2 linked regions of the Danio rerio genome follow. The protein of the gene in region 1 purifies or fractionates together with the protein of each later gene. This does not show direct contact. Links are inferred from orthologs where the notes say so. Each region holds a gene or a part of one and is shown on either strand. Other genes may lie near its edges. The genes, in order: lrp6 and axin1.

Region 1 (3,831 bases):
GGAGTGCAGTGTCTTCAGCAGCTGATGGTGTGTGTGTGTGTGTGTGTGTGTGTGTGTCGCAGATACATGTACTGGACAGACTGGGGCGAGGTGCCGAAGATCGAGCGGGCGGCTCTGGACGGGTCGCAGCGGATGGTGATGGTCAACACTTCTCTGGGCTGGCCCAACGGCCTGGCGCTCGACTACAGCGAGAGGAAGATCTACTGGGGGGACGCCAAGACCGACGTCATCGAGGTCAGATCTCACACACACACACACACACACACACACACACACACAGCAGAGACGTGTCTTGCAGCTCGTATAAAGGCTCAGAATGGCTCTCCTTCAAGTGTCCTGACACGGCGCTGATGAGCAGGTGTGTGTTGTCCTGCAGGTGATGGAGATGGACGGTTCGGGCCGGCGGGTTCTGCTGGAGGATAACCTGCCGCATGTGTTCGGCTTCACGCTGCTGGGAGACTACATCTACTGGACGGACTGGCAGCGGCGCAGCATCGAGCGCGTGCACAAGCGCAGCACCGAGCGGGAGGTCATCATCGACCAGCTGCCCGACCTCATGGGCATCAAGGCCACGTTCGTCCACCAGACCTTCGGTAAGCTAATGCTAATGCTAATCCGCTACAGCGCATTACTGCATCACTCCACCTGTATTTGGAAAAGCCTCATTTCACGAGTCTCCCAGAGTTCAATGACTTCAGCCGGTCTCTTGTTTTAGCTTAGCTTAGCATAATGAGTAGAATCAGATTAGACCATTAGCATTTCATTTAAAGAGTTATTCATTCATATGTATAAGATGTGTTCTCTAGGCAAATATTAACAGGAACTATACTAAATACATAATAAAACATGTCGCAGCTGCACCAGGCGGAGGGATATTACACAGCAAAGGAGAACCGGCTACTTTTAGAGCGCTCCTGTTCTGTCAGATAACACAACAGATTTAGCATGATTGGATGTGTCAAACAAACCCTCTCCATTCAGAGAACACCGCTAATAACAGCTAATATCCCTTTATGAATCAGCAGTCGCCACAGCGGAATGAACCGCCAACTATTCCAGCATATTTTATACACAGCGGATGCCCTTCCAGGCGTTTGCCATTCCCCTATAGCGCATGTGTTTGGACTGTGGGGGAAACCGGAGCACCCGGAGGAAACCCACACCAACACGGGGAGAACATGCAAACTCCACACAGAAACACCAACTGACCCAGCCGAGACTCAAACCAGAGACCTTTTATAAACCATTTTTAAAATACTTGATTGTGTGTGTGTGTGTGTGTGTGTGTGTGTGTGCGCAGGGGTGAACCCGTGTGCGTGGGCTAATGGCGGCTGCAGTCACCTGTGCCTGTACCGGCCTCAGGGTGTGTCGTGTGCGTGTCCTATCGGCCTGGAGCTGATGGCGGATCTCAGCACCTGCATCGTCCCCGAGGCCTTCCTGCTGTTTTCCCGCCACACCGACATCAGACGCATCTCCCTGGAGACCAACAACAACAACGTGGCCATCCCACTGACCGGCGTCAAGGAGGCGTCCGCCCTCGACTTCGACATCACCGACAACCGCATATACTGGACCGACATCACACTGAAGGTCAGCGCACGCGCACACACACACACACACACACACACACACACACACACACACACACACACACGCACACACACACGACAACCACATATACTGGACCGACATCACACTGAAGGTCAGCGCGCGCACGCGCACACACACACACACACACACACACACACACACACACACACACACACACACACACGACAACCACATATACTGGACCGACATCACACTGAAGGTCAGCGCACACACACACACACACACACACACACGACAACCGCATATACTGGACCGACATCACACTGAAGGTCAGCGCACACACACACACACACACACACAACTAAACCAACACACTGCACACACACACAGAATTCTGTTGTTTATTGTGTAGTGCAGCGTGTGTGTGTGCAGTGTGTTGGTTTAGTTGTGTGTGTGTGTGTGTGTGTGTGCTTGTGTGTGTGCTCGTGTGTGTGTGTGTGTGTGTGTTGTTGATTGTGCAGTGTGTTGGTTTAGTTGTGTGTGTGTGTGTGTGTGTGTGTGTTGTTGATTGTGCAGTGTGTTGGTTTAGTTGTGTGTGTGTGTGTGTGTGTGTGTGTGTGTTGTTGATTGTGCAGTGTGTTGGTTTAGTTGTGTGTGTGTGTGTGTGTGTGTGTGTGTGTGTGTGTGGTGTTGTTGATTGTGCAGTGTGTTGGTTTAGTTGTGTGTGTGTGTGTGTGTGTGTGTGTGTGTGTTGTTGATTGTGCAGTTGTGTGTTTCAGACGATCAGTCGGGCCTTCATGAACGGCAGCTCTCTGGAGCATGTGGTGGAGTTCGGGCTGGATTACCCAGAAGGCATGGCGGTGGACTGGCTGGGCAAGAACCTGTACTGGGCTGACACGGGCACCAACCGCATCGAGGTGGCCAAGCTGGACGGGCAGCACCGGCAGGTGCTGGTGTGGAAGGATCTGGACAGCCCCCGCGCACTCGCCCTCGACCCCGCTGAAGGGTACGACTGACTCTGTGTGTGTGTGTGTGTGTGTGTGTGTGTGTGTGTGTGTGTGTGTGTGTATATGTGTGTGTGTGTGTGTGTGTGTGTGTGTGTGCTACTATTACTATATATAATAAAAGGTCTAATATCAGTGTGTGTGTGTGTGTGTGTGGCGTAGGTTCATGTACTGGACAGAGTGGGGCGGGCGGCCCAAGATAGACCGTGCAGCGATGGACGGGTCGGGCCGCATCACTCTGGTGCCGAACGTGGGCCGAGCGAACGGACTGACCATCGATTACGCTGAGCGACGGCTCTACTGGACTGACCTCGACACCACACTCATAGAGTCCTCCAACATGCTGGGTAACACACACGCACACACACACACACACACACACACACACACACACACACACACACACACACTCACTCATTGAATGTGTGCTGTCCCTGTGTTCAGTGTGATATTAGCATCTCAGCTTTATAATAAACACAACGCTGGATAATGAGTGTGTGTGTGTGTGCGCGTGTGTCTGCGTGTGTGTGTATGTGTGTGTGCAGGTCTGGAGCGCGAGGTGATCGCGGATGATCTCCCGCACCCGTTCGGCCTGACGCAGTATCAGGACTACATCTACTGGACGGACTGGAGCCAGCGCAGCATCGAGCGCGCCAACAAGACCAGCGGGCAGAACCGCACCGTCATTCAGGGCCACCTGGACTACGTGATGGACATCCTGGTGTTCCACTCGTCCCGGCAGAGCGGCTGGAACGCCTGCGCCGCCACCAACGGCCACTGCTCACACCTGTGCCTCGCCGTACCTGTGTGCAGCTTCACCTGCGGCTGCCCCGCCCACTACTCCCTCAACACCGACAACAAGACCTGCAGCGGTGAGTGTGTGTGTGTGTGTGTGTGTGTGTGTGCCCCGCCCACTACTGCATCAACACTGACGTCACACACTCATTGGCCTCAGTGTTGCTGGTGCAGCAGAGGGGCGGGGCTCTGGCTCGCTGTGGTTGGGTTGTGTGTGTGTTCTGGTTCTCCTACATGACTGATCAACACTGTCCTGATGGGGAGCGCAGCTGAACTCATCACTGGTTTGTTTGGGCCGACACTAAACGACAGGGTTGTGTGTGTACACCATCATTTATCCCTGTGTGTGTGTGTGTGTTTCAGCGCCGACGTCGTTCCTGCTGTTCAGCCAGAAGACGGCTATTAACCGCATGGTGATGGACGAGCTGCAGAGCCCCGACATCATCCTGCCCATCCACAGCCTGCGGAACGTGCGCGCCAT
Region 2 (3,831 bases), on another chromosome or scaffold:
CTGTATTGAAGCACTTACGATTGTTGAAAAAATGTGGCTAAATACTGATATTTTTAGACACATAGAAATAATAAACTTAATTACTTATTATGTATTGTGTGTACTTAATATATTTTATTTTTACTTTTTTTTTTTTTTTTTTTTGAATCTTGGCCTTTTGCAAAATACATATAAATGAACTGTCTAATCAAACGGAGCAATTATATGGCATGTCAATTGGCTAAATATGACCCATTTCCACTGAGTGCTACAGTTCTGTATGCTTTTATGTTCGTTTCCAATGTCAAAATACTATACCACTTTTGGCTACCCTTACCTTATCATTTTTTATCACATTCTCTAGATTTTTTTTATAGTAGTGCACAGTCCTGTGTTATGTTGTCAGTGTTGTTTGATGCAGCATCTTGGTCCTGGAGGAACTTGTTTCGTTTCACTGTGTGTACTGCACTGTATATTGTTAACAATAACACAGACTTGACTTGAAAAGGGTACCAAAAGATGGAGCGAGACGCGCAACTCAATGCTATTGGTTTATAGAGAAATGTTACTAGCGTGTGTAAGCCAGGAAAATTAAAACAAAGGAAGCATAATTTTTAAATAGCCAAGAAATTAAATCGTAATAATATATACAATTAATAACAAGCCATGGTCAACCCGAGCTCAAACACAGCTTGTTGTTGTCTAGATGAACAGCAGCAAAGCTAAGAGGAAGAGCAGAATCCTGTTGGTGTTTACGAGGCAGTCTAAAAGTGCGAGTGGTTTCAATGGAGAGCTCGTTGCGCGTCTATATTTGAATTAACTAACTTGAGCTCATAATAATAATAATAATAATGCGCGTGAAAGAAGTGAGCGAAGCACAAACATAGCGGTAAATGATTGTTTCAGCATCCTGAAAGATGAACAAACTGCCATGTTTAACTATTATCATCACCTCTTGGACTATTATGAACTCAGAATGACGAAATTTCTTTAACACAATGTTAATGTTAGATGTGCCGGTGAATATACGTTACAGTTGGCTAATTTGCATTTGATCTGCAGCCATAATCAAATCCTGTTCATTGAAAGGTAAGTAATTGGCACCGCGTCACCCAGAAATTGAATAATGAAATGTAAAATAATAACACAGTATAGTAGTCTGTAATGAAGAATCATTTTACTGAATTATTAATACAATGAAGAGCACAGTGGCGCAGTGGGAAGCACAATCGCCTCACAGCAAGAAGGTCGCTTATTTAAGCCCCTGCTGGGTGAGTTGGCATTTCTTTGTGGAGTTTGCATGCTCTCTCCATGTTTGTGTGGGTTTCCTCCGGGTGCTCCGGTTTCCCCCACAAGTCCAAAACATGTGGTATCCGTAGTGTATGTGTGAATGAGTGTGTATGGATGTTTCCCAGTGATAGATTGCAGCTGGAAGGGCATCCTTCTGCGTAAAACATAGGCTGGATAAGTTGGTGGTTCATTCTGCTGTGGTGACCCCAGATTATTAAAAGGTCTATGCCGAAAAGAAAATGAAATAATACATGAATAATACAGTGAAGTTACAAATATTATATGTTTTTGTTCTTGAATGCTTTAAACTATCTTGAAACATCTTTAAAACACATGGAAACGATAAGGTTTCACTCTATTATGGTTATCCTTTGCAGTGACTCTCAAGTATTCTCAATTATTGTACTGATCAACTGTATCTCAGTTCAACATTTCATATCCTGCGATGTGACTATTGCGGACCCACACATTGCGATATCGATGCTGAAACAATACAGTGTGCATCTCTAGTTTAGTGTAGTTTGCTGGTAATATCAAGGTCGGAAAGTGACAGAACTAATCATTAAAATATATGAAATCCCTTGATCCGGTTGCAAATCAGATGTTATTTATTTTCTCATTTTTCTAATTATAATGACCATTAAAAGCATATTTTGAGCATGAAGCGAAGTCTTGCATTGCTCATTTTTAGGGCATTGTGTGTTTTGAATGTAACCATAACAAAGCCCTTTCTTTCAGCAATAGCATAATCTTAAGACTCCTGTGAAAGGATGACATCTGCTGGTTTAACATTGTTACTACACACAGTGATTCTGCATCCCATTGTTTTCTGTAGTCCACTTGGTTCATTACTTTCTCCACAGTCATTATAATTAATATTTGGTTAAAATTTCAAAATAAAGCATTTGTTAAAATCTACCCTCTCACTGTTGTCTTGTAGGAAGAGGAAGGTGATGATGCAGACATCTCCACCGGTCCCTCTCTGGCCAATCACAGGATTCCTCCAGCGGTCCACGTTCAGCATTATGGTGGTCGCTACTCTGAAATGAGCTACAACGGGCTGCAGCTAAGGGACGCGCACGAGGAAAACCCCGAAAGCATCCTGGATGAGCATGTACAGCGGGTCATGAAAACTCCTGGCTGTCAATCTCCAGGCACCGGACGCCATTCTCCGAAGTCCCGCTCGCCAGATGGGCTGCCGGCGGGTAAGATTCCTGGGCTGATGATGCCGCTGTCTGGTGGCCAAGGCAAGCACCAGGCTCGGCAGGGCCCAAAGGGTGAGGCGGCGCACCTGCATCATCACAAACACATCCACCACACACACTATGCTGCGGCGGGAAAGCCCAAAGAGCAGGCGGAGGCAGAGGCTGCAAGGATGCATGGAGGATTCGCCTGGAACACGGAGCAACACCACTATGGACCCAAGTCACGCAACTATGCAGATGGAATGAGCGTCGGTCCCAACACCATGGACCCTATGGGTTACAGGTACATGTCTCAATCACTTATGTCAGCTATAAAGACAAATAATGATCCCAAATCCACTAAAATGCTGATCTGGTGCACAGGATGAATAGAAAGTTTGATAAATGTCTTCGCTGCCACCTTTGATGCAGCTTTTGAAAGATTTGAAAGAGGCCTATCCGCTTGTTAAGTGTGACGTCACGCGAAGCGGCTTCCGGTTCCAATCACTCTATTCAACTGAATAGGGAGACTCATGAAATGGTAATAATAAACGTTTACAAAGCGTTTTAAGGCTTTCGAAAATCACGATCGCAATATATGTCCATGCCTAATATCCGATGGCCAAAAGAGATAATTTTTTTTATAAATTGTTAAATTTTTGGTATTTGTTATGCAGCAAGCCCAAAGATTGTTGTGTACACTATGATTTTATATAAAATTAACTTTATTGTGTGATAGGAATAAAACGTGATCATAAACGAATGATTTCTCCACTCAAATGAATGGCGGCTTGGACCCGGAAACGGTATTACATACGTCACAAACACGTCACCACTTAACAAGCGGATATTAAAAAAATGTCATCACAAAAAGTCAACTCAATATTTTTATGCTGCTTAAACTTATTTAAGTAAGTCAATTACAAATGCAAAGTCTAACTTGCTGTTTTTAGATGAATCAAATAAACTTTTTTAGTTATCTCAACTTACATCAGCAGGGTGTCTGTCGAGTCTTAAAAAGTTAACAAAAATTGATAAATCTATTATAAAAAAATTAAGACCCTTTTAAGGTATAAAAACGTCTTAATCACGGTTTTACGAGGTCTTGAATTTTGTTCTAGTGTTGTCCAAAGGGTTTGACTCATAAAAAGCATAAATTTATTTATTTTACTCCTAATATTAACAAACGCGAGATGGTGTTGTGTCTCCACATATAGCAAAACAGACAGCAAAATATAAGTTTGCGTACTCCTGTTTGGAAAAAGATGAGTTTAAACAGTGGCTGAAGCCTGTTGCTTAAAACAACTACGTAATTTATTCTTTCAAGCTTTGTTTCTTCTGATCTTATCAGAGTTCTGTTGCATGGTTGTGCTCCATT

Evidence for each region.
Region 2: the proteins of lrp6 (region 1) and axin1 purify together in Homo sapiens (affinity purification with western blotting; 7 studies listed by BioGRID and IntAct, with this or other methods). This does not show direct contact. The link is inferred for Danio rerio from reciprocal best matches to the Homo sapiens genes LRP6 and AXIN1.

What each region holds. Positions count from the first base shown.
Region 1 is NC_133179.1:164,289-168,119, forward strand, and holds part of lrp6 (low-density lipoprotein receptor-related protein 6 precursor), read left to right. Parts: intron 1-62; coding exon 63-234; intron 235-376; coding exon 377-593; intron 594-1,300; coding exon 1,301-1,590; intron 1,591-2,330; coding exon 2,331-2,557; intron 2,558-2,717; coding exon 2,718-2,902; intron 2,903-3,100; coding exon 3,101-3,427; intron 3,428-3,713; coding exon 3,714-3,831. UniProt on the Homo sapiens protein: Component of the Wnt-Fzd-LRP5-LRP6 complex that triggers beta-catenin signaling through inducing aggregation of receptor-ligand complexes into ribosome-sized signalosomes.
Region 2 is NC_133178.1:42,662,466-42,666,296, reverse strand, and holds part of axin1 (axin-1), read left to right. Parts: intron 1-2,209; coding exon 2,210-2,757; intron 2,758-3,831. UniProt on the Homo sapiens protein: Component of the beta-catenin destruction complex required for regulating CTNNB1 levels through phosphorylation and ubiquitination, and modulating Wnt-signaling.